Rhinolophus ferrumequinum: one gene and its partners. The protein of the gene in region 2 interacts with the protein of the main gene of each other region in a biochemical or structural test. Links are inferred from orthologs where the notes say so. Each region holds a gene or a part of one and is shown on either strand. Other genes may lie near its edges. The genes, in order: PPP1R7, UBXN2B and PPP1R11.

What was found.
Region 1: the proteins of UBXN2B (region 2) and PPP1R7 form a complex in vitro, tested with the Homo sapiens proteins (2 studies listed by BioGRID). The link is inferred for Rhinolophus ferrumequinum from reciprocal best matches to the Homo sapiens genes UBXN2B and PPP1R7.
Region 3: the proteins of UBXN2B (region 2) and PPP1R11 form a complex in vitro, tested with the Homo sapiens proteins (2 studies listed by BioGRID). The link is inferred for Rhinolophus ferrumequinum from reciprocal best matches to the Homo sapiens genes UBXN2B and PPP1R11.

What each region holds. Positions count from the first base shown.
Region 1 is NC_046291.1:513,674-523,759, reverse strand, and holds the start of PPP1R7 (protein phosphatase 1 regulatory subunit 7), read left to right. Parts: upstream 1-5,978; 5' UTR 5,979-6,042; coding exon 6,043-6,094; intron 6,095-8,877; exon of another isoform or gene 8,878-8,929; coding exon of another isoform or gene 8,930-8,939; intron 8,940-9,328; coding exon 9,329-9,457; intron 9,458-10,086. Other genes in the region: PASK (PAS domain-containing serine/threonine-protein kinase), read right to left, coding at 1,644-1,683. UniProt on the Homo sapiens protein: Regulatory subunit of protein phosphatase 1.
Region 2 is NC_046297.1:20,235,783-20,246,380, forward strand, and holds the start of UBXN2B (UBX domain-containing protein 2B), read right to left. Parts: upstream 4,167-10,598; 5' UTR 4,035-4,166; coding exon 3,951-4,034; intron 1-3,950. UniProt on the Homo sapiens protein: Adapter protein required for Golgi and endoplasmic reticulum biogenesis. Involved in Golgi and endoplasmic reticulum maintenance during interphase and in their reassembly at the end of mitosis.
Region 3 is NC_046286.1:692,349-702,934, forward strand, and holds PPP1R11 (E3 ubiquitin-protein ligase PPP1R11), read left to right. Parts: upstream 1-5,863; 5' UTR 5,864-6,074; coding exon 6,075-6,143; intron 6,144-7,216; coding exon 7,217-7,325; intron 7,326-7,760; coding exon 7,761-7,963; 3' UTR 7,964-8,148; downstream 8,149-10,586. Other genes in the region: POLR1H (DNA-directed RNA polymerase I subunit RPA12), read left to right, coding at 3,243-3,267; RNF39 (RING finger protein 39), read right to left, coding at 9,794-10,374. UniProt on the Homo sapiens protein: Atypical E3 ubiquitin-protein ligase which ubiquitinates TLR2 at 'Lys-754' leading to its degradation by the proteasome.

The DNA of each region.
Region 1 (10,086 bases), on a different chromosome or scaffold from region 2:
GAAATACCTGCATGTGTGGTTGAAAATAGACAAGATGAAGTCACAACGAAGAGCAAATAAGAATTTCTCAAAAACCAGCTAGATTGAAAGAAACAAGCTTTTAGAAGTGAAATTTTTAAAAATTGAGGATTTAAAAAAATATTTGGAATTAAAACTTTCCAACAAAGAAAATTCTAGGCCCAGATGGCCCCACTGGTGAATTCTATCAAATATTCAAGAAGGAAATATTATCAATACTGCACAAGCTCTCCCATAAATTAAAAAAGGAGAGAACGCATCCAACCCAGTTTTTGAGGCCACATCATTATCCTGATACTAAAACCAGACAAACACATTGCTGGAAAAGAAAATGACTGGCCAATAACTCTCATGAACATGGATGTAAAAATCCTCAACAAAATATTGGCAAATCCATCAAACAATACGTACAGAGTAATTAATATCCCACAACCAAGTGGGGCTGCCACAGGGATGAAAGGCTGGCTTAATGTTTGAAAGTCAACCAGTGTGACCCACCATGTGAAGAGGCTAAAGAAGCAAACTCATATTATCCCATCAATTGATGCAGAAAAAGCATTTGACAAGAGCCCACGCGCCTTCATGAGAAAAAACACTCAACAATTAGGAATTGAAACTTCCTCAACCTGCTGAAGGCGCACATGTGACAAACCTGCAGTTAGCAACACACCTGGTGGGGGGAGACTGAACACGCACTCCTGGGGTCAGGGGGCGGAAGCCACTCAAGCCTCTTCTATCCAGCACTGTCCTAGAAGTTCTAGCCAGGGCACACAGGCGAGAAAAAGAAATGACAGGCGCACACACGGGAAAGGAGGGAAACGACAGGAACACACATGGGAAAGGAGGGAAACAACAGGCACACACACCGGAAAGGAGGGAAACGACAGGCGCACACACCGGAAAGGAGGGAAACAACAGGCGCACACACCGGAAAGGAGGGAAACGACAGGCACACACACACCGGAAAAGAGGGCGTACAGCTGTCTCAAGTCACAGAAGACATAGAAAATCCTAAGGATTCATAAGAAGATTACCAACCCACTCTTTTAAAAAGGGGGTGGAGGATAAAGGTTTTAAACAGACAAAGAAGGCACACAAATCACGAAGAAGCACAGGAGAAAATGTTCGTCATCACTGTCACCAGGGAAATGCAAAGGAAGCCCGCAATGAGCTATCATGACAACCACCGGGGCAGCTAAAATGAGAGAGAATGGAAGTACAAAGGGTTGGTGAGGGGTGCAGAGCTGGGGCCCTCAGATTAGTGGTGGGGACACACATGGCACAAGCGTGCCACTTGCCCTAGGACACAGTGATTGCACTCCCAGCCATCTACCTAAGAGAAAGGAAAGCACGAGTCCACAGACTCCTATACGGATGCCAAGTACAGCATGACTGCAGCGAGCTGCAGCCTGGAAACCATCCAAACGCCCGTCATCAGGAGACCAGACATGCAGACTGAAGAGTATCCACACAAAGGCCTCATACGCAGCAGTGAAAGGGGATGCAGTGACACAAACAGCGTTGTGCATGAATCTCAGAACCGGCACACTTGATGCACGCTGGCACCAGACACAAAGACACCTCCTGTAGGGTCCCATTGACGCGAAACACCAGAAAATACAAACTTGATTTACAGGGACAGAAAGCAGAGCAGGACAGGGCCATGGTGGAGGATGGACTGAAAAAGAGCATAGAGCAAATTCTTAGGGTGGCGGAAATATTCTGACTGAACTGTGCTGTGACTACATATACATCTCGCTGAACTAAGTACAGACCATGAGAGCATTTTATTGTCCATAAATTACATCTCAATAAAGTTAACTTTTAATGTCAATGGGTGGGTAAAAGAGGCAGGTAGCTACAGCTGAAAAAAAATTAGTGAATTGGAAGATATTTTTGAATAAAGAGCCCAGAATGCAACAGAGAAACAAAAAAACAAAACTATGAGAGGAAAGTTAAGAGACGAAGATGAGGTAATCTAATTCGTAACTGGACAGAGAATGGAAAGGAAGAAACGTTTGAAGAGCTAAGAGTGGACAATCTTCGATAACAAAAGAAGAAACCCACCGATCCTGGACCCCGGCCGCACACTAGGTGTTGAGAATGTCTGCTCACAAAACGTGTCATAAAGAAAATGAGATAAGTCACAATGTGGGAGAAGATATTCACCACGTGAATAACCAACAGATAACTAATATCCAGGAGATTAAAAGGTCAATAATTTAAAATTTAAAAAATTTTAAAAGACACACAGCCCAATAGAAAAATGGACAAGAGACAGGAACAAGAATTTCTCAGAAAAGGAAACCCTCGCGGCCAACAAGCAAGCCTATGACAACAGGCTTCTCTGTTACCATAATCGTCACAATTTTATACCTCCTAAATCAGCAAAAATCAAGAATTCTAATGACACCAAACATCGATAAAGATGCGGCTCAAGGGGAATTCTAACAAATGAACCTCTTTAGGAAACAACTTAAGTCAAACATTTGCCTACTCTGACAGAAATTCCACTCTTACATTTATATTCTATAGAAATTCTTACACATGGGTAGCAAGTCAAACACAAGAATGTTCAGGACAGCATGGTTCACAATGTGAACAGAAAAAAAGAAAAAATAATAAACCTAAGCATTCAGCAGCAAGAAAATAGATTGTAAATTCTGTTATGAATTATAGAGTGAAAAAAAATTCTATGCACACTACAAGGATAAATGTTGGCCCTATAAAAAGTGAAAAAAACCAAGTTACAACAAACTATCAACAGTAAGGCTCCCTTTTTATAACCTCCCCCAATCTAAACAAATCCTTTAGGGTTACACCCACAAGTGATAAACTTCAGGCAGGAGGTTTCTTCTGTGGGTCCAGCAGCAACCTGGAATAGCACAGGGTCCCCTGGTTCCGAATTTGGGTGGTGAGTTTAAATGAGTTCACTTTACTGTCATGACTCATGACTAATATTGCATTTCTCCTTCTGTATGAATCAGCTAGTATACACTAAAATATTAAGATGTTTTATACAACCAACCTATAGACAAAGCACAGAAGACTTGACTAGTTTTGGACTACATTGTAAATGTTACAAAAGTTCACTTTGTAATATAACAAATGGGAGAGAAGGGAAGGTAATGTGAAGGGAGGATAAGGACAAGAAATGTCATCTTTCATGAAAACAAGTCAATAGTGCCGACAATTGATCAATCAAGAAGTGGATATGGGGGTGGCCGATGGCTCAGTTGGTTAGAGCAGCGAGCTCTCAACAGGGTTGTGGGGTCAATTCCCGCATGGGATGGTGGGCTGCGCCCCCTGCAACTAAGACTGAAAACAGCGACTGGACTTGGAGCTGAGCTGCGCCCTCCACAACTACATTGAAGGACGACGACTTGGAGCTGATGGGCCCTGGAAAAACACACTGTTCCCCAGTATTCCTCAATAAAAAATTTTAAAATTAATTAATTAATTTAAAAAAAGTGAATACAGGAAGGACAGGTCCTTTTCTCTCTGTGCCGTGGGGGGGGGGGTCCCTCCCCGCCAACTCAGCGTTGCACAGCAACTCCACACCACAGGGACGAGGGCCTCCCACGCCATGGCCAGAGGCTGGCTGCTGACAGCACAGCCTGGCTTCACATCACCTTAGGTCATTTCTAAGAGGTTTGCAGGGAGCTTCTGGAAAGTACTCCTTCCTCTCATGGGTGAACTTCTGGATGCAACCAACCACCTTCCTGCCACCAGACCACAAGCCAGGTAACAAGCAGCTCCAACTCTCCCACCACTGCTGTACAACCACGAGTAGAACCAGCCTCAGGGTGAAGCCAACATGGCGGGCAGAAGAGCAGAAAATGGCAAGAATGCCACGTGGGGCACTGGATACACCCACCCTAAAACCAGCCTTCCTCGGGATTTCAGGTTTGGGGGCCAACAGCTTCATTCACCATTAGAGCCGTTCTGAGACTGCACCTCTGTTTCTGGCATCAGGCATCCAAACAATATCCGGGATGAAGGATATTGTTTTGGATTTGTTGTAACGGAGGGTGTCAGCAAAGGCTTCCTCCAGGGAACACTGGCAGAGCTGAGCCTGGCACTGTGAAGAAGCCTTCCAGGCAGAACCACCACAGGGCAAAGGTGCCCACAGCGCCCTTGGGGAGGAGTCCACACACAGGAAAGTAGGTGGAGATGGGCCTGGAGCAGCCCAGCACGACTCCCAGGGCCTCCTGGGCCTCCTCCAGGAGTCCGGACTGCGTCCCTAACATTGACTTTAAAGAGCTCCATGCTCGGGAACATGACCAGATGCCCAGTTTACAAAGGTCACTCCAGGGGCAATGCTGGGGGGAGAAGGGGGGAGAAAAGTTACAGTAATCCAGGCAAGGTATTAGCAGGTCTTAAAATAAGCGATGTCAGAAAGACGGCCAGAGGAACCGCCAAGTCAAAACTCGACCTATGGCTGCCGTCGACTTACTGGGTGACGAGAGGTGCAAGGTACGGGGATGAGGGGATGAGGAGCATCAAGCCCACACCCCAAGGTTTCTGCTCAGGCCACTGCCATTCTCTGGAAAAGAAAAGGCGAAGGTGACGGACAAAGCCCAGGTATTTGGAGGCCTCCAAGCGGAGATGTCGAGAAGCCGGGCTGCACCCCACAGCTCACGCATTCAGATATTTACTGAAAAGTCCTGCATAACAGGCACCGTCCCCAGCATAGAGGAGGGCAGTCTCCATTCTGGAGTTCACCTTCCAGGAGAAGCAACAATAGTGACTACAAAGCGCACACAGTTAACTGCAGCTGAGGACTGAGCGCCGGGTGGGGTGGGGCCGGGGCGCAGACGCTGAGGACCAGAGAGGCTCCGCCCAGGGCCCCAGGGCGCGAAGCGGCACAAACCGCCGTTGGGCGCCGGGCCGCTACCCCGGCGGGAGTCGCACGGAGAAGCGGGCAGCGGCGGGGGCACCGGGCTCGGATTGGTTCGTCCGAGGGCCTCGCCGGGGTCGGGCAGCAGGACCCTGCGGAGCCCGGGTCGACTCCCAGGAGCGCAGGCATCTCACCTGGGGACGAGTCAGCCGGCCGGTTGCTTCACCCAGCCGCGAGGAAGCCGATCTTCGCCTCCAGCCCCGCCGGCCAATCGCGGAGCAACTCACGCCAATTGACAGGCCCCATAGGCCAACCACTGGCGCCTGTGGGCAGGACTCAACGAGCCGGGGTGGAGAAGCCCGCGCTAACGGTTGCTAAGGACGCACCGGACTCCTTCTACGGCGCCTCCGAGGAGCCAAAAGAGACGGCGGCCCGCCAGCCGGGTACGGCAGACACCGTTTCCTCTGGTCTTGGGATCGAGAAGGGTGAGCAGCGCGAAGCTCGCCTCTCAGCAGCCTCGCCCTGGAGGCTGGGGCAGCAGGGGCGGCTCCCTCACGGGCCAAGCACACCCGCGGGGCCGAGGGCCGACGGAGGTTGCGGCGCCCGCTGTGGGTGGGTCGGCGTCCCGGGCCCCGACCGGCTCTCCCGGCACCTGCGGGCGGAGTTCCTCCCCGGCCCCGGCCCTGGCGCCGAGCCCGTCCCGCGCTGAGCGTTAACTGGAGGCGGCCCCTTCACTCGGACTAAGTCCGCGCGGCGACGCCGAGACAAAGTCGGCCCATTGTACAGACGCCTCTGCGGAGGCCCGCACTTTGCAGCCCCACGCAGAGACTCGCTACGAGCCCAGAGCATCTCCCAGATTCTTCTCTCCGCTTGCCTGCAGCCACTGCTCCGTGCGTGCAGCCCCAACTGCCCCAGTCCTCCTTCCCGCTCCTCGCCTCCAGACGCCTCCGGGGCGCTCTCAAATTACCTGCCCGGGGGAGGTGAGACGGCCGGCGCGGAGACTGAGGGCGCGCGACCTCGCGGATGGACTACAACTAACCGTGAGGCTCTGCGGCCGCGCAGGCGCGTCGGGGCTTCAGTCCCCTCCGCTGGGATTCCATTGGCTGGGTGAGTTCTGAGTTGGGAGCCCTGATTGGCTGAAGGGCCTGAGGCGACAGATTCCGGAAAGGGGAAGAGCAGCCAACATGGCGGCTGAGCGCGGTGCCGGTCAGCAACAGTCGCAGGAGATGATGGAGGGTGAGCGGCCCCACAGGGCGGTGGCCGAAAGGCCCAGCAGGCTGGGGGTGGCGGCCCGCACCGACCTTGCCCGAGAGAAACGGGGCTGCCCGCCTCCGACCACAGCCCGGGCCCTGCCGTGCGGCCCCTGACAGCTGCCAGCCGGTTCGGAGGGGCGGGGGCGGGGGCGGCCCTGGGGGCCCCGAGCCAAGGCGGCAGCGGCCGGGAAGGCGCGGGCGGACCGGGAGGCGCCCGACCCAGGATCGAGGGGAGAGCGGCGGCATGAGCGGGGTGGGCGGGTGGGTGGCTGGGGACTGACGGCGCCGTAGTCCCGCAGCGCGGGCGTTCACCCTCTGTTTGGAGCCTCGCACTGAACCTCTGAGCCTGACCCTCGGGGTCCCCGTGCAACTAACGAGGAAACAGGCGCAGGGCGCCGTGGGAACTGCCCGCGCTGGCTCATTAGTGAAGGCTCATTTCGAGAAGGGTCCTCTCGAAAGCGAATGGGTTGTGGAGAAGGGGGTGACAGGGAGCCGAGAGACTGTTACAGAACAGCAGGTGCCTGTTTGCAAAGTTATCACAGTTAGGAGAGGACTAAATTCAACTCTTTCACTTTGTTGAAAAAAATTATATGCATATATGTGCATACGACTGTACACACACACACTCAATTGGAGAGTCAGTTCTATCACAATACTGATGTGCTCTTGGCTGCGCTGGTTTCATGGGGGACACAGAGCTCCAGGAGAGCAGCCAGCCACTCGAGTGTAAATGCCGGTAAGAAGGAAGCAGAAAGGGTTGGAGGTGGGGTGCCATAAAGGAAGAGCTGGCGTACTTAGCAGTGAAGGCGGCACAACCAAAGCTCCAAGTTGGACCTTAAATGTTCGGCCAGGCTGGGGGTGGGGGAAAGATCAAAGGTCATTTCAGGGGAAGAAAACCACACAGTCACAGGCAAAGGGCTGTGAGAGATCCAGACCTGTTTGGAGGAGAGCTTGACCAAGGATGACAGTCATTTTGGATGAGGGTGGAGAGTGCCAGTGAAGCTGGCAAGAGAAGGTGGGGGGTGGGGGGGAAGCATTTGAAAAGTCCTGGACTTTGAAACCCTTGGATCTTTTTAAGCAAGGAAGTGCCTCTTCCTGTCCCCTTTTTCTCTTCCTCACCCACCAACCACTTCCATGCCTTAGTAAATGACAAACGAAAACCCCAGGCATTTCTCTCTCTGGACCCACTCATCCATTGGTCAGGAAGCTCTGACGCCTCCACTTCCTTAAAATCTCCAAATTTTCAAACGTCTTTCGTTCCCACTGCCAATATTTGAGCCAGCCCATTGACCCCAGGGCCTCACATGGTGGTCCTCTGTCACTTGCCCCATACTCTGCAACCCTCAGGATAGAATCCCAGGTTTCATGTTGGCTGCTCTTCCTTAGCTAAGCCCCTTCCGCCCTGGGCCGAGCCACATCCATAACCCAGTAGAACTTGCTCTTAGCCTTGACCACAGAGTGCATGGAATGGCAGTGCAGGCAGGTTTCCGCTGCTACCAGTATCTCAAAGTAGAACGTTCCTATAAAACCTTTCAAACCCGAAACGGCATAAATCAAAGAAGCAGTTACCTTAGGACATAACTTACTGCAGATGCACAAAATTGAGATAAAACATAGATGCTCACAGATACAGTTCAAAGCTATGTCAGCTCGATGCTGAGACGCTGGGTGTAGGTGCCCTGGGTCTAGGCTTAGTGGTGCCACTCACTGGGGTGTGTGCTGCCTCTTTTAGGGCTCTCTGCAAAACAAAACAATGCTATTTTCACTTTTCACGTTTTTTTGTAAAAACTAAATTCCTCTTCAGATTTCTTTCATTAGTGATAACAGGTACGAATATAAGTCTTTCTTAAAAATGAAGTGGTGTAAAGTGAACTTTTGAAAAGCAGGGGTACCTGTAACTAATTAATTGTGTACTGCTTTTATTTATTAAAAGCTAACTGCTTTTGTGCCTTATCTAATTTAATCCTGACAGCAGCCCTGAGATATAGTTACTATACCAGCTCCCTTCTGCAGATTTGGAGACTGAGGCTTGGAAAAGGAAGTAACTGCCAAAGCTGTGTCTCTAGGGGCAAGATGCAAAGTCAGGAAGAGCCATTGGTATTCCAGAAATTTTGTGGAGTCACAGATCAGATTTGGGTTTTAGAATCAGATCAGACTCTGGCAATGGAGAATAGATTAGTCAGGGCCAGACAAGCCACAGAGAGACCAGTTAGGAGGCCCAGCAGGAGCCCAGGCCACAGGTGAGGAGTAGCTGAGCCGAGGCAGTTGCTGGGGGCAGGGAAGAAGGAATGGATTTGGAGGTTTTGGAGGTGGGTTCCATAGGGACGTGTTTCATCCAGCAGTCCTTTCCTGGGTGCTTCCTCACTTGGCCCAGCGGGAGATACAAATTGGAACTAGACCGTCTCCCTCTCAAAGAGCACGCTCCTGTGAGATAAGCTGTAGTCAGGAAACTTGGAAGCTGTTAGTGCCTGAGGGCTTCCAGACAGACTTCCAAAAGAGGTCATGAAAAAGTTAGGAGAAAGGAAACTTATCTGACAGTTTTGCCAATGAATTTTTATCAGTCTGCCCCATGTAATCATTGCCGTGTTTATTCGAAAAACATTATTTACCAGCCTTTCAGAGCTTTGAGCTGCCATCACTATGCCCTGGTGTTAGTTAGCATTGTGACCTTCTCGTGGGGCATTTAGCACTATTGGCTGTCTTCTCCTGTCTCGTTAGAGCCCCCCCACCCACAGTCTGATTTGAGTTAGTCTTAATTTCTTTCAGAACGTGGGCCTGTGAACTGGGCTGGTTTTCTTGGCCAAATGGATAGTGGAGCATGGATGAAGGTATGTGGCAGGAGGGTCACAATGGTCCCCTCTTCGCAATGTGCAGGCTTCGCTACGTGTCAGCATTAGTATGTTTAATGAGACCATCCAGGGCTTTCAGGACACCTGGCGACTCTTCAGGAGGCCTTGAGGGTAGGAATAGTATGATGCTCTCCCCTTGCCGTGTGCCTCCCCGCTCTGCCCCCCGCCCCACCCTGCCCCCAGTTCTCCCACCACTACACTTCAGGCAGTGCCTGGGGCCTGGAGGACACACAGATGCTCATTGAGCTGAACTCAACACTTTTTTGAGTGAAGTCTTTGTGACTCACAACTGGATGTCAGTCTGTTACAAGTTCTTGAAAGAGTCACGTGAAGTGGATGGGAATTCTTACTGATCTGTGTGGGTTCAGTTGACAGGCGGGTCGAGTCTGAAGAATCGGGCGATGAAGAGGGGAGGAAGCAGAGCAGCGGCGTCGTGGCCGACCTCAGCGAGCACAGCCTGAAGGATGGAGCGGAGCGGGGGGAGGAGGACCCACAAGGTACCGGCACGAGTCCTGAGCCTTGAGCTCACCGAGGGGGTGGGTGAGGGCAATGTCGTGCGGATTGCCAGGTGGCAGCCTCTGTTGTGCCTGGGGAGCTCCCTGGGCTCCGGGCGTTGCCTGCTACCACAGCGCCCAGGCCCTCGGCAGGCTGGGAATGGTGGACCTGTAACTTGGGCGCGCCATTGGCCAGCAGGCATAACGGCCCTTGCAGGCAGGATGTGGTTTTTTCCTAATTCCACTGAAGCCAAATACTACTACTGATAATATTGGTACTGGTGCGTCATCTGGGACAGACCCCAAAAATTGATTTATTAACCATGTGCTCAGAAAGTGAGATTTGAAATAAACATTATGGCTGACTACTCTGCTTTTATTTCCTGCCATGGTAACAGCCTACTTTCAGAATAGCACTTTTAGTGTCTTAGAGAAGTCAATTCTGAGCCCTTCTTCACCATTTTACAGACCTAGAAAGGACTTCTTAATCGCTAGATGTTAGGAAAATCATTTTATGTAGAAAATGTCCCAATGGCCTCCTTTAGTGAAAAACAGCAAAAGGAATTTAGAGAAAAGTAAGTCCTCAGCCCGAATTGGTAGTTTTTCACACACTCCAACCATGATCTAAGCCT
Region 2 (10,598 bases):
TAAAGAGATAAAAACATGTGCATTATGAAGTAATGATGCATTATGAATTATCAGAAGTGTTCCACAAGTGAAACAATTAGATTATGAAGATATTTCAATTACACAGAGAGAATAAAGTATGTATGTAAGCACTGATAATCTTTTCTCTAGAATCTGAAATGTGAAGAACATGTAAAGAAACCTGAAGGTTAAGGCAATTGAGAATGAGGAAATCAAGTGTACAACAAAAGATTAAAAGTACTGGAATTCTCAGACATTGAGTGACAACAGCCAGAAGGTATAATATTGATTTATACAGAATAACAACAACATGGGGACCCTTGAAAAATGCAGATGCTCAAGCCTCACCCTAGACCTACTGAAGTAGAAACTCTGGGGCTGGAGTTGGACCCAGCAACCTGTGCTTTAACAAGTCTTTCTGCTGTCTGGGATGCACACTAAAATTGACAACCAACGATACAGAATACTGATACCCAACAGGATCAGAATGCTTGTGGCAATTTTAACATAGTATCATAGTCTTTTTCTTTTTTCACTTATAGAACTCCCTCTTTGTCCCACTCAAAGCCCAATCCTAACCCTAATAAGTACTGAGGATAATCTCAATCCCCCCTCAACTCCAACCTATATGGAAATACAGAATTTAGAACAGAAATATTTTTCTTTGGATCTTATTCTGGAGGAAGTGGGACAAAAGCATACATAAGGTGATTAAATACCTTAACCTACTGTTAGTTAAAACCATGCGTGTGGATGGATTGAGGGGCACAAGAAGAGACAAAGATCTCTGAAAATATTCAGAAATATAATGAATAGTGAGGCTTTCAGGGTTAGTTTTGTCACTAACAAATCCATCCCAAACTTTCCCATAGAATGTTTCCCAATTTGGGAGGAATGAAGGGACCTAAGATCTACTCTTGGTTTAATAATCACAGATTTCTGCAGTTTGAAAATCAGAGGCTCATAGAGCTGGGAGGTTTTCTGGCAGACAACTACCCATCTTTCCCCTTTTGAGAAACGGGGAAATCTCTCCTGATTTAGATGCTGACAAACCCTACATCATGTGGCAGCTAAGATATACGTACTTAGCAGACCTTTTGCTGTTCCAATTAGTAATACGTCATCCTTTTTCTTCTATAATACCTTAACAGACTGACTCTCAGAGCAAGCTGTCAGAAAAGTAACAAGTATCTACTGCAAATTGCACTACTGCATAACTTAAAATAAGCATGGCTAGATTAAACAATAACAAAATAATCCAAAAATAATCAATATCCAAGAAACCAGTCAGGCAGAAGAACTTTAATCAATTCTTCTAAACTTTTGATACATACTCTATTTCTTCATATGCCATCACTTGTTATTTTCAGGTTTCTTTGAAAGTTCTTCACATTCTTATTAAATTCTAAAGGAAAGATTATCAATACTTAGTGTATTTGATATACCAACTCACATTCATGAAAAAATCAGTTACTAACGTACTTACCAGAAAGTAGATAGACAGAAAAAAAAATCTCTTCTAAGTGACAGTGGAAACAAAGGCATTCTCATTAGTGCCATCTACCAGAATATCTCTGTTCATTAATCATATATTACCATATTTCGCCATGTATAATGCCCACTTTTTTGCCCAAATTTATGAGGGAAAAATAAGGATGTGCATTATACCTGGGTAGTACTAATTCCGTATCTATATAAGTGTTTTTAATTTTTTTATTTATACTTATGAGTTAAAAGTGTAACTCCAGAAATCAATAACGATATCCGGATTCAAACTAATACCCGGAATACGATACTCGATTTTGTTGAACTTATGACGAACTTGCAACCATGAAGAGTTCTTGGCCTTCTATGATGTGTAAATATCATACATTTGTTACTGGTACATAAAATTTCTAGTACCAGTATATTCTTGTGTTTTGTAATTACTTGTTACATACAATTATTTGTACTATATTAAAAATAAATACTAAAGTCCTTTATAATACAAAAAACACGTACCTAAATGCAAACAAATAAAAATTTGAATTAAAAAATTAAAATGAAAAATTTTTTCCCCTGAAACTTTGAGCCAAAAATGTGTGTGCGCATTACACACGGCACAATACAGTAATCCATTGGATTGTCTGTAAATTTGTCAACTATCAGGTGATCATTAACCAAACTGTCCTATTGTTCACATAAAAAGAAATGGATTTAAATTAGAGAAAGATTATTAAGTTACACAGTTTTAACTTTAATGGCATTACAATGGACTAACCAGTGAGTTATATAGTACTTTTCTCTTTTAAGGGAAAAGAAACCAAATATTTACCAAGCAAGTATGGGCCAGGATACTATGGGAGTATTTGAGCATAGGCACCTAAAGACATTACTTTATTTCATCCTTGACACCATTAACATCACCCCTAGTTTATAAATAAAGACAATCAGGATGAGAGAGGTTAAGACATTTCTCCTATATTCACACAACTACTAAGTGGCAGGACCATGATGCAAACTGAAGTTGGTCTGACCAGAAACTCCATTTTTCCCCCAACATCTCCTGTTGCCACTTAGTGATGGTGGCCTACAACAGAAAAGATGAAGTAGATGATAGTTTCCCAGTCCTTGAGTCTCTTTACTACTACTGAATTGACCTAGGGGCATTGAAACTATTCCGTATTTCCTGCGACTCCTAACCTGACAGTGATCTCTCCATTCTCCAAATTCCTCATTATATCCACTGCTTATTTGGGGACTCATTCATACTCCATCTTAAAATGTTATGTTAAATATATTCATATCTTATTTCTGCAAAAAATAGGTAGAAATGCCTTTTACATTTCTACCCCTTTCAACAGTGTCCAGCACCAGTGTCAACTGTGGATTTGATGTCCTATTTATCTCTGCATTCCCCAGGGCTTAGCAGTACATTACATAGCAGGTGGTCAATATGTATGTTCAGAATAGAATAAAGGTGTGACTCTAAAAGTAATATAACTTTTTTTTACCAAGGCTGTGGATTCAGTGTCATTTATTTTTAATTACAGCTCCTTATAAGGAGACCAAAAAATAGCCTAAATTGAGCAAAGTAGTGTTAAACATCTGATAAAGCAAAATTTGGAGCACTCCTATTTAGCTACCTAATGTTGGTATCTTATAACTTTATAACGCTTTATTTCCCCGTTCCTCCTGTGCACTGTTTTATAGACTGTAGCTTTTACAAGTAGACTGTGCAGCGTAGGATGGAATACTTTAGCTCAACCTTTTTAAGGAAAAAGGAACCTGATAAAAAGGAACCATATACATACATACATATATATATATGTATATACTGGGGGTGCCAAAAAAATGCACACACATTTTAAGAAAGGAAAAAACTTCTTAAAATTGTTAACACTCAATATATACTGGTAACAAAAAATGAATACAAGTCACATTTGACTTCCGCAATTACAAGAGGTGCTCAGAGTAGTCACCATCAGTGTCCAGACACTTATTACAGGGAACTACTGCTTGAGCAATGTTGACCAAAGTGTCCATTTGTATACATTTTTTTGGCAACCCCAGTATATGTATTCAAGACAAACAGCATCCAAGACAAAAAAGATCAAACCAGTACACCTGTTATATCAACTGACCGCTGCTTTCCCCGCAGCATAGTAAAGCTTTCTTCCCCGGCAAGTTTCCTGAAGGAAGCATCAACCTGTGAACTGACCCCACAAAATGCCATTCTAAATGGGCAGCTGTTTAAGTTGCAAACGGGGTGGAGAGCAAACGGACAGTTGTTTCCACGAACACCACTGTACGCTGCGCCGCCCTGGGGAGACTTGTGGAGCGGGAAATCACAATTCTGTCCCCAAATTGGGTCTGGGGAAGGCACGGCGGAGGCCAGAGGCAGCCTCCGACACGCCCCGACCCGCGCCTTCACTCCTCCGCCACGATCCGCCCTCAGCCGCTCGCCTCACCTGCAAATCCCGAGCGCTCGGGGGCCGCGGCCCAGATGACCTCCGCTCTTCCTCCGCAGACTCCGCTTCGCCGCCTTCCGCCATCTTTTACCCGCGTGCGGGCGCCTGCAGCCAACGCACCTCGCGGGATTTCCGGGGTCGGTTGCCTGGCAACCGCGCGGGGGATGGGGAGGGGAGACGGTCGTTGCACGCCCCGCTTTCTCCGGACTCCGCGCGCTCGCGCCTCCACTTCCGGCACCAGCCCACCTGTCCTACCTCCCTTTTTCCCTGAAAGGAATTGGGTCAGAGAGTTTCTGCCCGGAGAAGCTTCCACGTGAGCCTGGTGTTTTTCTCCGCCTGAAGGTGCTGTAGGCCGCGCTAGAGGGCAGCATAGACTTGCAAGTTCTTTTAACTCAACAACGAGAACGTCCTTTGGATGTTTATCTGGTCAAAATTGCAAATGTACTTTTCTAGTCTTAGGCAAATTCCCTCGTCTTCCCTACCAAGGATTGGGTGGCACGTCGACCCCAAAGCATGAATTGGTGTTGAGAATGAAGAACACCGTAAATGCTCTTTGCAATCAGAACTAGAAATTACAAAACCCTCCTCATTCATCTGAAATTTATTTGAGCTCCTGTCTTATCCAGTCACTTTTATGCCCCCTGGATGCAAAGGTAAAAAGTAGTTCCGCTCAATATAAAACTTACCATCTAGTGGGGAAAAGAGAAGTGTAAATAGATAGTAGAATGCAATTTGCAATAGAGCTTTGCGTGGAATAGGGAGTGTGGAGGGGAATATTCTGTTGGCGCCTCCTATGTGCACCATGTTGGGTGCATTACGTGTGTAATCTCTTATATCCCTCTGCCAGGTAAGTATTGTTAATACTGTGTTATACCCGAGGAAACCAGATGATGGCTGAATTTCACCCAGTTGTAAATGACAGTACCAGATACTAAATCTTGCATTTGTCGTCCCAGTATTCCTTTTAATACAGCATTCTGCCCCAGAAATCCCTGGCTCTCCTTTATGTCCCATAGAGCCAATGACATTTTGGCTGAATCTTAAGGATAAGTACTTCCAATAGACTTTGGACCACAATGAACCATATTTAAAGGCATAAATTTGAAATATGTTCAGGTCCATAAAGTACTACATGATTGAAGCTTAAGGGAAATGACAAGATGGTTATGGGAAGATTTAGACTGGAGATGTAGGCTGAGGACAGGTTTTGAAGGATCTTGCCCTAGTGAAGACGTTAAACATTACACTCTCGGCCAGTGATTCTCAAACATTGCTGCACGTTAGGACCCCTCATCTGCTCTCCTCATACCAGGAAATCAGATTTAATTAGTATGGGGTGGAACTCAGCATCAAATTTTTTAAGAAGTTCCCCAAGTGGACTTTGCTTCTGTCAGTGATTGGGACTGGACTTGCCATCCCACTCTCAACAACTGAAAAACTAGATAAAAATATGAAACAACTGTTTTCAGACATTGAATAACAGGCAGTACAGGTTTGTGATATCCCAGAGAGGAAAACAAGCAAGACGAGCTGTATTTGCTATGGCTCTCTGCCTGGAACTTTGATACGGTGCTGGTGGGAATGGAGAATGGTACAGCCACTTTGAAAAATAGACAGTTTCTTCTGGAGTTAAATATTCAGTTATCACGAGACCCAGCACTTCCATTTCTAAATACTGATCCAAGAGGTATGAAAACATGTGTTTACAAAATATTTGTGGCTAAATGTTCAGAAAAGCTTTAGTCATGATAGCTCCAAACTGAAAGCAGCCCACCAGCAAATGAATAGAAACATTTTGATAAATTCATACAATGGAATACTAGTCAAGAGTAAAAAAGGGAATAAATTACTGCTTCACATACCATGGATGAACCTCAACGACATTATCTAAATAAATATTGTCTGATTCAATTTACATGAAATTCTAGAACAGCCAAAACTAACCTTTACTGACAGAAAGCTGGTGGTTGCTTGGGGTTATCTCTTTGGGGAAGGATAAACTTGGGGAGTTTGACTAAAAAAGGACATATAGGAACATTTTGGTGTGATGGAAATGTTTTATATCTTGATTGTGGTGGGACTTATACAGGTATATACATTTGTCAAAAGATCCTAAGCTATCTACTTAAAGTGGATGCACTTTATTATATGTAAATTACACATTTATAAAGTTGGTTGAAAAAAACCTACCCAGATGATTCTGTTGTACAGTAGTGGGTGAGGACCACTGATCTAAGGCAATTGGGAGCCCTTAAAGGATTTGTGATTTAGAAAGATCACAGAGGCATCCCTGTGTAAGATGACCCAGAGTTAGGAAATTAGAGGGTTGTTACAACAATGAAGGATAATTAGGACTCAAGTTGTATCAGTGACAGTGAGTATAGAGAGAAGCAACAGTTGGTAGAACTATTAGGGTCAGACTCAGTAGGTGCTGGAATATATGGGGAGTATATGAAGGAAGGAGGAAGGAAGAATGACATCCAGGGTTTTGGTTAGCTTATATGGTTAATAATGCTTGCTGTACATTACTGAGTTGAAAGGGCAAAGTAAACTTCAAAAGAAAAAAACATCTTTTATGGCCATTTTGAATTTGAAACTTATGTGGGACACTAGGGTAAAAATACATCATGAAGCAATAGCAAATATGGGTCTAGATATTAGGAGGCTAGGAGAAAATTTTGGTTTGGAGATATAGATTTGGTGTTGATTGCATACAAGTGACAGCAGGGTAGATGAGGCTTGCAGAGGCTGTGTGAAATGTAAGAAGATGTGAGGACCGGAAATATTAAAAAACACCAACACTGAAGGATTCAATGGAGAAAGGAGACCATTCAAAGTAAACTTAAGGATTAGTCAGAGGTAGGCTGAAGAGACTGGAAAAACTAATGACAAATTGGTATCAAGTTAGAGACCAAAAGTATAATTTCCCACAGATAATCAAGTAAGAGTAGGACTGGAAACTATCCACTGGATTAAGGGAAGAGGAGTTTGCTGCTCCAAAGGTTACTACTAATTTAATAGAAAGGAAAATCCATATTTTAATGGTTTGAGAGTGACAGTAAGGACAGTAAAGGTTATGTTTTCAATGTACTTAAAGTCAGTGGATTATACTGGTTCCTGAGATTATACTGGTTCCTGAGAGCCTATTGTTAAATTTTCAGAAATTTCATAGGCAGTTGTTAAACACTGCTAAAAATTATATAAACTTACAATGAAACCACATTAGAAAAAGTGTAATAAATACTCAAAAATCATTTGTTAATCATTTCAATACCTTTTATTATTACTTATGCTCTTGCAGTTATTTACATCTATTGTAGCTGAATGGTGGAGATACCATATGCTACTGCACACCTCTTCCTAACTCTGCATTCAGTAACAGCATGTTGGTATTTTGAAATTTACCATGGTGGGAGTATTTATACCTCAGAAATTGGAAAACATCACAAATAAGAGTTTGATCTATTGTTTTGTTGATTGTCTACTCTAGATTTAAGAATGTGTTAGAGAAAATGTCTACAGTGAAGTTAAAACTTAAAGGCATGCCATGCCTTTAGCTGTTATATTGTGAATAGCAAAAAAGGGGGAAAAAAGGACATATTCTTCCTGTATTTGAAAATTATTAGCCAGTTCAAGAAAGAAGTTGCTCATGTATCATTCAGTTATCATGATGTTTGTGTTGTTTCACTTACATCTTGTTAACATGAATAAAAATATCAACCGATATTCACATGGTCCCTTTGAAGTCCCCCTCTCTTAGCTTGTGATGAAAACTACGAGGTCAGACAATTAAGTTTGGTGAACTTGTTGCAACGATGTTGCTAACCTTTCTTGATATCAGAGGGATTATTCATTATGAATTTGTACCAACTGGACAAACAATTAACCAAGTTTACTACTTGCAAGTGCTGAAAAGGCTGCATGAAAAAGTTAGACGACCTGAACTTTTCGCCAGCAATTCATGGCTCTTGCATCACGACAATGCACCAGCTCACACGACACTGTCTGTGAGGGAGTTTTTAGCCAGTAAACAAATAACTGTATTGGAACACACTCCCTACTCACCTGATCTGGCCCCCAATGACTTCTTTCTTTATCCAAAGATAAAGAAAATATTGAGAGGAAGACATTTTGATGACATTCAGGACATCAAGGGTAATATGACAACAGCTCTGATTGCCATTCCAGAAAAAGAGTTCCAAAATTGCTTTGAAGGGTAGACTAGGCACTGGTATCGGTGCATAGCTTCCCAAGGGGAGTAGTACTAGTGATATTTAGCAATGAGGTACGAAGCACTTTTTCTAGGATGAGTTCGTGAACTTATTTGTCAGACCTCGTATAGTGCCTCTTCCCATTGTTCTCCAAAGAAATAGGATCACAAGTATCTCACTCTCCCTTTATCCTCTAACTATTTTATGTTCTCAAAGTAATCCTGGGGGTTTAAGAATCATGGAAGTTATTCTATATAAAATATCTCCTAGGAATTTCTGTCTCACACTTGCTTCAACATATAATATGTCTTGTTTCTGGGGCTGCTTAAACTGGAAACTTAACATTAATACTTGTTATACTTATTGTTTTCTTTCCATTAGACTGTAATATCAGGGAGGCCATTGGTCACGTCTTTATCTCTAGTGCCTTAACGTAGAACTTGGGACATAATATGTACTTTTTAATGAGTACAAGTGAACGAATGAAGGAAATAGGGATCATAACTCAAACGCAGGTTTGACTATTTCTCATTTTCCATTCATGGAAAGTCAAGAAATAACAAGGTATATCAGCAAAGAAAGAATAAAATGCAGGCCTACCCATCGTAGACTAATAAATATCCAATTTGAACTGCCCAACCTAAATGAAACTCACACTTGTATAATTTTACTTATGCAGGAACATCACTGAAGCCATGATCAGAGATTGTTGTAGGACACAATGGCCCTATTTCATCCTTTAAACAGTTTAATCTTGGCTTTTTAATATTTACAGAATATATTTGCTTATTTGCATGGGTTGCATACGAGTATGTTATTTTCTGTAATCTATAACAACCTTCTAGTTAGGATTTGTCTCCATTCTACAAAAGAAATAATTGAGGACCAGAGACATAAGATGAATTTCCATGATCATATCACCCAGCTATGAGGTAGCAGAACTAAATTTTAAATTCTGGTCCATTTTATTTTAAAGTATATGTTTTTCTTTTATTCCTCTATGTGTCTTCTGGAAGATTTTTTGCAGCTTCTGACATTCACAACTGTTCACTTTCTGTAATTTCCTCAAAGTAATTCTCATCATTTTCTCCTTACTTACCTGACCATTTCTTTTGAGCTCCCCTAACATTTTATCTCCTGTCTACCCTCTAAGTAGTGGTGTTCCCTAGAATTCTGTCTTCAGCCCTCTATTTTCTCACTGTGTATACTTTCACTACTCAGTATCATCCACTCTTCTACATACTATTTGTACACAGAAAATTCTCATTATTTGCAGTAGTTATGTTCTATAAAGTTGTCGAGAACACTGAATTAGTGGATACTGAACCATTGCTCCAAAAATACAGGGTCAGTTTTCTGCAAGGTCTTGGGCACAGTTTTGTCAACTGATTGATATATACCCTTGTTTTATGCTTGTTTTTGTTGAATGAATCTTATTTAATACATGTTGCTGATTCATTAATATGAACTCTCAGCCAACAGCACCATAACTCATGCCTGAGGGGAGCTTATCTAATACATACATTTTCTCCAGAAGGCACATCACAGCCTTCTTGGACTTAGGAACTTGGACTGAGAAACAGCAATTCTGTATTACGCTTGGGGCCATTTTCCACAGCAAAATCACCAACAAACTGCACAAAAATGCATAAAATGCGACATAAATAGACCATGAGTTCATTTGTAGTAGAAGAGCTGAAACAAGAAAGCAGAACCTTTCCTTGTTTGTCCTCAGCTGGGAACATGCTCACGGGGCAACTCAGTTGTTTGCTTCTGTGCATGTCCGCGAATGACCACAAAAGCCCCATGAGTATCGATTTGGGGGTTGCAAACACATTTTATTGAGTAGGCGAATTTGCAAAGATGGAGTTTTGGAATAGAGGATTAACTACATTTAGGAGTCCCCAATCTATTTTTCCAATACTTACTTCTTACCATCACTTTGGACCTGCATTTTCAACTGTCTTTTCAACTGTTACTTTCATCTAGATGTCTCAAATCAAAACCTCTTTTTTTTTCCTCCAGTGCTTTCATCTGGTTTGACAAATGGCTAGATTTGCAATAGGTGAGGGAAGGAGGAAAAAAATGGATTTTTTTCTGTTTACACACTGGAGAAAGAGGCCTGAAAGGAGGGAGACACCTTTGATTCCTGGAGATGGGATGGAAAGGGTCTTGGGTTCCCAGGCTAATCTTTTGGAATGTAAATACATCTCTCCAAGGGCCACATGAGCCCTGGTGTCTTTTTTATAACCTGGAGATGTCCCCATAGTCCTGGGCCTCATTTTCCCTTGCTGCGTAAACATGAGAACTTCTGGAGTACTTTCTCTGAATGTCTATATTTATAAAGTTGTAAATTATCTTCCCCAGGCTTGTTCCCAGCCCAGGATCCAACCTTTTTAAGCAAAATGTATTCAGTACGCCCCAACTCTATAGAAAC
Region 3 (10,586 bases), on a different chromosome or scaffold from region 2:
TTTACTTTTTGCACTGAATAAACAATTGTTTCTTTTGGTCCCATCCATTTCTATACAGTTCAAGAAATAATAGGGAGATTTGTGGTCGTTTTTATTTTTCAAAATTACATGTATCCTTTTACTAGCCAGTGAACTAAACCTTTTAAGATACTTAAAAGGAAATGAAAAATACAGAAAGCCAGTATTGCTTAGGGGTTAGCATGTTATGTGGGAATATTCCACTGCACTCAAGGAAGTTGTACTTGGGAATTAGTGGAGTATGATTTAAAGAACATGGGCTCTCTGATGATTTTAGGAACTCCTCTTTGCCTTTGGTGTTCTGCAGTTTCATTACAATTTATCAAGATGCGGTTTTCTTTTATTCATCCTATTTGGGATTTGTTGAACTTTTTGAAACTGAGGATTGATTTTTCTTTTTTCCCATCAACCTGGGAAAGTTATCAGCCATTATGTCATTGAATATTGCTTTTCCCTCATGACCTCAATTCTCACATTCTGGAATTCTAATTAAAGAGCTGTTTATTAGACCATCTATCCTCCATTCCTCTGTCTTTCATATTTTCCATCTCTTTTTATGCTGCTTCTGGGTAATTTCTTCAGGTCTCTCTTCCAGGTCACTAATTCTGTCTTCAGTTTATTTCAATTATTACGTTAAATTTTTTGAGTTCTACTTGATCATTTTTCAAATCTCAGTCATCTTAAAGAATTCCTGATTCCTTAATCATCTTTTATTTTTTAATTTTTTATTGGGGAGTGTTGGGGAACAGTGTGTTTTTCTAGGGCCCATCAGCTCCAAGTCAGTTCATTGTCCTCCAATATAGTTGTGGAGGATGCATGCAGCTCACTGGCTCATGTGGGAATCGAACCGACAGCTCTGTTGGTAAGATCTTGTGCTCTAACCAACTGAGCCACCTGGCCGCCCCTGAATCATCTTTTAATTGCACTTTTTATTCTTAAAATATTTATTACGTGTAAATATATTAAACATGGCTATTTATAGTCTGTCTCTGATAATTCCAGTACCTAGTGTTTTTCTGGGTCTGATGCTGCTGTCTGTTATTTCTGCTGACTTTCATGGTGCTTTGTTTTGTGATTTTTGACTGTTCGGATTTTTTTTAGAATTTGAACTATGGGAATTCTTTGAGGCCTGGGTTGAATGCCATTGTCTCAGCATTTGTGTATCTTGTTAAGGTGCCTTGAGGCACTACCAAGACAGAATCACTTTTAAATAAATTCTTGGCTTCAGGATTTTTTGGACTACACAGCTAGTATGAATCTGAGCTGCAAATCCATGTAAGGACCAGCTTTTTCTTTCTCTACCTAGTGAGACAAATTCCCCTTTTATAGAGTTAAATTTGTTTTTTTTTTTCCTATTCACTTTTACAGAGGGGTAGCCCCTTGGAGGTCCCAAATTTATGCAGAATATCTATCAGACATTGTATTACAGGTTTTTCTTTTGTTCCTTCATATTGCTGTCAAAACAGCAAGGGCGCCATCGTAGCAGGGGCTTCAGTTTTACCTGTTTAGTTTCCTGATTTTATATCATTTTACCAGTGTGAAGATTGCCTTTACTTTCTTGCCATCTCATCAATGGATTAAAAAATATTTATTGTTAGATACATCTTTTAAGAATATTTTCCCTAGTCTTACCTATTTATTTTCTTAACTTATTTTTTTAAATGAGCAGAAGTTTTTGATTTTTATCAGGTTCAGTTTATCCTTTTTCCTTTATGGCTACTGCTTTTTGTGTCCCAAGAAATCTTTGCATACAAGTCTGACAATTAAGTTCGTGAACTTGCCACCATGTGCTTACACTGGCAGCACTGTACAAACAGCTCAGGTTTGATAACCTTGGTACATCAGTGTCTCACAGCTGTGTTTGTGTCGACACGTGGCAGTATCTTGCTGAGTGGCATTCATTATTGTTGCATGTTTTTGTGTGCCATCGTGAAAATGTCTGAGCTTGAATTAGAGCAACGAACAAACATTAAATTTCTTGTTAAACTTGGCAAGAATGGAAGTGAAATCAGGGACATGTTAGTCCAAGTTTACGGGGATAATGCCATGAAGAAAACAGCAGTGTACAAAGGGGACTGTGTACAAAGCAGTGTTTCTGAGGGGAGAGAACGTGTCACAGATGAAGAGAGGTCAGGGCGGCCAGTAATGAGCAGAACTGAAGAAAACATTGCAAAAATTTGTCAATTGTGCGTTAAAATTGTCGGCTGACTGTGAGAAGTATAGCAGACCAAGTAAACATCAATAGAGAAACAGGAAAATCTTAACTGAAAATCTTGACATGCAAAAGGTGTGTGCAAAAATGGTCCCAAAGCAGCTCACTGATGAACAAAAGCAAAGGAGAGTTGAAGTTTGCCAAGACCTTTTGAAGAGGCAAGACGATGTTTTGGGCCTTGTTATCACTGGTGATGAAACATGGGTGTACCAGTACGAACCTGAAAAAGCATCAAAGTACACGATGGAAGTCAGCCAATTCTCCACCACCAAAAAAATTCCATCAGTCCAAATCGAGTCAAAACAATGTTGCTAACCTTTTTTGATATCAGAGGGATTATTCATTATGAATTTGTACCAACTGGACAGTTAACCAAGTTTACTACTTGCAAGTGCTGAAAAGGCTGTGTGAAAAAGTTAGATGAAAATGATCTGAACTTTTCACCAACAGTTCATGGCTCTTATGTCACGACACTGCACCACCTCACACTGCACTGTCTGTGAGGGAGTTTTTAGCCCAGTAAACAAATATCTATTGGAACACCCTCCCTACTCACCTGATATGGCCTCCAATGACCTCTTTCTTTACCCAAAGATAAAGGAAATATTGAGAGGAGAACATTTTGATGACATTCAGGATATCACGGGTAATATTACAACAGCTCTAATGGCCATTCCATAAAGAGTTCCAAACCTGGTGTTGGTGCATAGCTTCCCAAGGGGAGTACTTCGAAGGTGACCATAGTGATATTCAGCAATGAGGTATGTAGCACTTTTTCTAGGATGAGTTCGCCAACTTAACTGTCAGACCTCATACTTCAAGGTCATAATTTGTTAGATATATTTTTAGTACCAGCAGTTTTAGTTGGCTTAAAGTTGAATTGTTTAGGGGAGCTAGACTTCCACAGTGTCATAAATAAAAGTCCTTCCTTGATTATTTGAGTGTATTTCATCTTTCACTGCTAGACCCTCTTTGGTCAAATACAACAAAGAAATCCTTTCTTTCTCCATAGGTTCCAGGAAAAAGAAGACTCTTGATTTTTATTTTGTTTTTCTGGGCGACTCAACAACCCCTCCCTCTTCCTTGGAAGGTGAAGGGTATTGGATTCTTAGACCCCGTGGCGATCCCCTGGTTGTAATATTTGGCTCCCAGAAGAGAAGCAGATCATCATGTGGGGATTACCATTGTGCTTATTCTTATTCCTAGTTGAATTTTCCTATTAAAGTTATATTTTTCTATAAGATTGAGACATATGTATGTTATTTATAATCTGTCTTGTTCCAAAATGAATTTAAATGAGCTTATAGATACATTTGTTCTTTCAACAAATATCAACTACAAAAAAGAGTATAAATTAGTACATGAGAAAGAAAAAGGACAAAAAAAGGAGCCAGGAATGAGGCTAATATGAAAAAGCAAACATAACTATTTCCTCACTATCTAAATCTATTAGTTCCTCAGTTTAGGGAAATAAAAATTGGGAGTTTGAATAGTGAGAGATTCAACAGAAAATTTAACCAGATCTATTCGATGTGTAAGTTTTTTTTTTACCAGACAAAATAGACTATTTATTGCTTTTTATAGTTGACATTCAATATTATTTTATTATTAGTTTCAGGTGTATAGTGCAGTGGTTAGGCATTTGTATAATTTATGCAGTGATCCCCCTGATTAGTGCTCACCTAGCACAATATTTTATGTGTAAGTTTGAACAACAAAAATCTGATACTAAGGGATACCAGTATGTACTTACTACAGGTGGACATTTTGGAAATATTGTTATTGCTCTTGAGATAAATAATATATATTTACTGTAATAGATTCATATATAGAAAGAAAAAGTAAAAATTACAAGGAATCCCACTCTGCAGAGATACTTGTTTTTTTAATGGGCTGAGTTCTATATATGCTGAGTTCTAGCTTGCTTTTTTCCCTTTGAACCAAAAACTTAAAAGAGAAACAAACATATAGTCCAGGCACAATAACCATATTCAAATTTTAGTCTGGGAATCAGTATTCCTGCATTCCTTGGCTTAAATGGTGATCAAAGGATGATATTAATAATAATTATCTTGCAACGGTGTGGTCCTTTATGTATTCAGCGCGCTCAAGCACACACACTCTTGTTTAACTGCTCAGCAACTTGGATGGATGAGTAGGACAGTCTTCTGCATTGTACATTTGAACTGTTCTGGCAGTTGACTTCCTTGCCTCACTCCTGAAATCTGAAACAAATATGTTCATGTTTCTACACTACTCTAAGCCTTTTCCTGGCCCACAACACTGGCTGGATAAAGTCCAAATTTCTTAGCAAAGCATACAGGGCTTCCCATATAACCACGCCTACCTGTAAAGCCTCATCAGGCACTCCACTTGTATCCCAGCAGTACCAAACTTAATTTCCTTCAGTCCATACACCTATGACTTTGTAAGTTCCTTTTACTTAAAAAATTCATTGGTCTGTCTTTCGGTTCCCTTTTGTCCTGCAGGGTGTCCGGCGGGGCCTCTGCTCCCGCTCCCCACATAAGAACGCAGGACATGGTGAGGCCAAAAAAAAAACACCCACGGAGCCATAGGTAGGGGAGTCATACCACTGTATTCTCGCTGGCGGCTGGGTTGGAGAAACAGGAAACAGGAGCCACTCAATTCTCAACCCTCACTGCACCGCTTGCAGGCTCAGCCACCATCTTCTTGCTAGCTCCCTTTTTCTGCTAGCCTAGCCACGGCAGTTATATTAGTGCCCAATGGCTCACTGGTTACAGCTGACGGCCAACTAGCCACAGCTGATGGCCATTTGATCACAGTCGATGGCCATTTACTACCTGAGCCAGCACCTTTCTATGTGACGCCGAGAGCCTGGAAACTGCTTTTTGGGGCTCTGTCCCCACACCTTTTTACCCACTCTTTTTCTCCCTGAGAAGCATACATTTTTATCATAGCAAAATTGGCCTATAATTTATGACCACGTCTTTGCTTAATTTTACTCATCTCTACCCCAGAGTTTAGGCAGTATGCAACTAAATTGAATTTCACAGGTGAGATTTATATCTATGTTAATATCCCAATGTCTTATTTTTTTGTTAGTCCTAAGCATGCCAATCTTTCCCACTAGACTGGGAGTTAACAGGAAGGTTTCATGCGCGGCCATCTTAAAAGCCTAGTACAATGACAGGAAAAAATTCGAGTTGAACGTGAACGCCCCACTCGAACACTTAGAGGCACAGGACGAGTACTAGAACCCAGGTTCTTAATCCGGTGTATTTCCAACTGCACTTCGGTCCCCTTTCTGTAATTCCTATACGAAACAATAAGGAGGCAACAATGGACCATTATAAGGTCATTATTATTGCTCCTCAGTTTACGCGCCATCACACCCTCCCAGGGGGTGGGGGGCATGGGCTCAGCTACAAGATTCCGCACCCAGTCTGCGAGCCTAACCCGGCTCTAGCCTTCGGGACCGCCCCCTCCTGCGTGCCGTGCGTGCGCGAGCTGCCCTTGATCGCCCTCCACCACTGCAGTGACTCCGCCAACTCCTTGCGGCGCCTGCGCACTGTGACCTTACGACGGAACCAATCTGGTGACGCCTGCGCTTTGACGCAGTGCAGGAGACGAGAGGAGGACTACAGACTGCGTCACACCCGGAAGCGGAGAGCCGGAAGTGGGGTTGGACAGGTTATTCCCCGGGGTAGAGAAGCGGAGGCCTAGGAGGAGGGGGAGAAAAGAAGGTGGAGGATCCTGGCTACTACTCTGAATTCGATACCGCTTCTCTTAGACCTCAGAAACACAGAACGAAGGAAGGGTGTCTCATCCCTTCCTCCCCTCCTCCCTTTCCTCAGCCTTAGCCATGGCCGAGGCGGGGGCCGGGCTGAGTGAGACCGTCACTGAGACAACGGTTACCGTGACAACCGAGCCCGTGAGAAAGGCGGGGGGCGGTGCTGTTTAGGATCTGGGAGATACCGGGAGGGAGGGGTTAGGGCTTCGTGGAGTTGCTGGAGGGGCTGGGCTTGGTGACATGGGAGGAGTGGGGTTGAATATCGGGTTGGGAGAATCGCAAGGTCTTGGGCATATTTGGAGTGGCAGAGGTGGTGCAAGGCTCGGCAAGCGACAAGTAATCGAGTTAGGATGTAGGTGGTGCTGCTTGGGGTGGTGTGTGTATAATTAATGAAAGAATGGGAAGCTGGGGTTTAAGGAACAAGGGAGGTGCTGTGTAAGAAGATGAAGGCTGTGTAAGAAAGCATGGTTGGAGGCCAGCTGTAGAGGAATTTGACGGGAAGGATACTTATTAAATATTTGTCGAAGGGATTAATGTAAAAGGAAGCAGAATGAGGGAACCAAAAAAAAAAAAGAGATGACGATAGTATTTTGAAAAATCAGAGATGTAAATAAAGAAAGAGTAACATATTTGCAAAAACTAGATTGTTTTCAAAGGGAGGTTATATTGGGCTTAATAACACTGGATTAAGGGAGTTTAGAATAATTGTTACCAGAGATTTCTAGGATGCTAGGGAATAGGTGGATAAGAGGTAGGAAGGGCAGGGCTTGAGGATGAGAGAGGTGAGAATGGAGTTCTTTAATGGGTAAAAGAATAGGGAGTCTGGAAAAAATAAAGGGAAATCACAGATTAGGCATTGGGACTGAGAAAATAATTTTTATGTAGTAATACCACTAAGGATAATTTGGGGAGGAAGACAGAAACAGCAAGGGTTATATTTTCCTTTGAAGATTTAATGGGACCTTCCCTAGGTTAGGGATTGTGTTTTCTCTGTATACTAATAGTTATCAAAAACAGGAAATACTACTTCATGATTCCTCAAGGAGGTTAAAGACCTGTTCTAGTTCATCTTCTCCCAGCACTCAGCTCTTCTGGTGCTGTGTCTATGACACTGATTGAGCTGAGACAGGGCAGAGAGTAGGCCCCCAGGAGAGAGTGGGGATGGTCAGTACGAGGGAATTACATAGGTATGCCCAACTCTGTTAACCTTCCAGGAGAACCGGAGCCTAACCATCAAACTCCGGAAACGGAAGCCAGAGAAAAAGGTGGAATGGACGAGTGACACTGTGGACAACGAACATATGGGGCGCCGCTCATCAAAATGTGAGTAATTGTTGCCCACAGTAACCCTGCAGTTCTGGCTCCCGTCTGCGTACCTTCTACCTTCTCACATCCACTTGTCCTCCTGAAGCCCCCAGATGCTCACAGTCCTGTCGCTACCTGGGTGGTTCTGTGGCATCAGGGAGAGGAGGTTAAAGTTAGAGGGAAAAGACATAGGCAGGGGCTCAAATTGGGATGTGCCAAGGCTTGAAGGCAAGAGGTGTCAGAGGTGGAGAAGTGGAGCTTTGGATCCTGGCTATCTGAAAGGACAGGGGGTGGGTGGCTGAGGCCCCAGGGTGGGCCGGGGAAGCTGGATCCTGGAAGATAGAAGGAGACGATGGTGGAAGTAGCCATTTTTACTGAGATCCAATGGGAATGGAACTGAGTGTACATCTTACCCTTCCTCCTTTTTAACGGGGCTCCTCCTCCCAAATCCAGGCTGCTGCATTTATGAGAAACCTCGGGCCTTTGGCGAGAGCTCCACGGAGAGCGATGAGGAGGAAGAGGAGGGCTGTGGTCATACACACTGTGTACGGGGCCACCGCAAAGGACGGAGTCGTGCAATCCCCGGACCCAGCCCCACCACCCCTCCCCAGCCTCCTGACCCCTCCCAGCCCCCTCCAGGGCCAATGCAGCACTAAATTCCTCTCTCCCCATCATTCCTGTGTCTGTCTGGCCCTGAATGTTTTCATGTGGCTACTTGGGGACTCAACCCATGGTTTGATCCCTTTTCCCCGCCCTCCCCCCCCCTCTGGTTGATAGAGGGAAGAAGAAGAGGAGGGTGGACAGAGATCCTGGAATTCTGACTTGCTGCTATTCTAGAACCCAAGCTCCTGGGTTCCCCCAACCCTCCTTTTTCTTTCCCTCCTCCTCTCTCCAGGGATCCAGGCATCTTGGTCCCAGTCTCTTCCCTTTGTTCTCACTGCCAAACTGCCAGTCCTGGGATCCAGTTGTCTTGGCCCCCTGCGCTCTCTACTTGAGTCCCAAACACTTAACTTGGGTTTCCAACAGCCCCAGCTTTCACTGCCAGGGTCCCAGTCAGATTCCAGGCAATGTTGCCCCAGCTATGCTTGTTACGGCTGGCTTAGAGCTCATCCACTTATGTATTTATATAGTCCTAACTCTTAGTCCTTGCCTGTGGTATGTGAGGTACTATGGGAGGGCTCCCAGCCCTTCCCCTCCCCTCCTTCCCACACCCCTGACCCTCAAGAGGAGTTAGGAGAGAGAGAGTTCTTTGTCATTCTCACCTTTAATGGAAAATGAAAAAATAAATAGTCATGTCCTCTCTCTTAACCTTTCTTATGTGATCTAGGATTTCTGACAAAGCTGGCTTCAAGAGTAGTCTTCCAGCTTTGGAGACAGATCCGACCTAGTCCCAGGGGCCTGGGTTCCTGAAAGAGGAAGGAAAAGGGAGCAAAGAGATGGGGCTATCTTCCCATCTCTTACCTCTTTCTTCTTAGGCTTTCGTGTTTTTGCCAGTCCAGATGTCTGACTCTCTTGGCCCTCCCCTTCTTACTGGGATCTAAATATCATTCCCCAGGACTTTTGCCGTGCACAAGTGTAGAGATTGGTCAAATCCATACCACCATAGAGATCTCATTTATTGCCACAGATGCACAAAATAAATAACCCAACATCACAAAACGTGTTAAATACGGGCCCATTTATACACATGGGGAACAATGTGAGGGCTATATACAAGGATGGATTGGGGTGTCTGGGCCACTCCCTGGTTGAGGAAAGGAGAGGTAGCACCATTGGTTCCTTACTGTGAGTATGTGCAGGGGGAATTTAAAGATGGTTCTTAATGGGAAAAATCTATGGACATGGAAAGAAGTCATGGTGGGGTATGACCCCCCACCCCCCCAAAAAAACCCCACATTATTAACCTTCCTAGAGAGCCCTAAGTCCCAGACAGAGTCAAGCCACTTGATTTTTAGGAAGGTCTTACTTCCCTTGAGAACCTGCGAGTGGACAGGGCAGGAAAACCCAATCCTTAAAACTAGGGAAGGCGTTGGGCCCTTTGAGACTAGGAGAGGCACAAGTGGGAGGTAAAGATTTGACTAGGAGGGACTCTCCGTAGTAAACATGGGCCCTTTACCAGTTCTGATGAAGCAGGTGTGTTCCCTAACTCAGGCCCGAACAGTGTAAGGTACCAGGGGAGTGAGCACTTGGGGAGTGCTGGGTAGCTGCTGGGGGAAGCGTTCCTCGAGGTATCACAAGAAGTGGGCGGGAGGGGCGGGGAAGGGCGAGAATGGGTCCGGCTTTGGGAGTGGATGTGAAAACTGGAGGCCAGTTGAGGTCTTAGTATTTGGGAGAAGAGAGACATTGTGGGTGGGTGGGAGTGTTTATCAACACTCGGGCGGTTGCGGGAGTGTGGACTCGATGCCTGGAATGAGGAGGGATTTCCGAGCACAAGAGGAAGCAGCCTCGCTGTGGGCCAAACTAGAACGAGGTTGTGGGCGAGTTTCTCAGCCTTCTGCTGGCACGATGCGCAGTGGGGTGCGGGGGTCTCGGGTGCAGAGCAGCGGGAAGACGCGTTCCCCTAGGGGGCCAGGTGCCTGGAAGGCAAAGAGCAGGTCGAGCGAGCGGCCGTCATAGAAGGCCACGCGGCCCCGCTCCCAGTCCAAGTCCACCCGAATCCGCCGGGGTGGGGGCCCAGCGCCGCCCAGCGGGGTGGGCTCTGGTGCCGTGAGTGCCCACAGGCGGCCACCCCGGCCTTCCACGGCCCACACGGCGCCCGCGGGGCACAGCCCAACACGGCCCTTGCGTCGCACCGACTCTCCTGCCGCGCCCAAGGCATAGCGACTCTCCCCATCGTCCTCATCCTCCCCGGAAGAGCCTCCGCAGGAGGCAGAGTCCACGGTCTCCACCTCCCAACAGTGGCGGCCAGCCTGGAAGCCCTGCGCGCCCAGCACCGCTGGGAGCTGATCGAAGCGCGCTGGGCTGTCAGGGGGCGCAGGTGTTCCTGGTGGGGCCAGTCTGACAGTGCGGCAGTCCGCAGAGATGAGCAGGCGGCGGTGTGCGGTGCCAGGATCCAAGGTCAGGTCGGCTGGGGAGCGCAAGACAGAAAGGACCAAGTGAGAGGGGTTTCGGAGTCAGTCAGAAGTAGGATAGGACAGAATACGTGGCGGAGGGCACTTCAGAGGCCCCACAACGGCTGGAAAGGTGGCTGTGGCACAAGACAGGGTAAAGGGACATGAAGGATAGCCCCAGGCAAGACCCAACTGATGCATGGATAGCCCACTTATGTGGAATTGGACT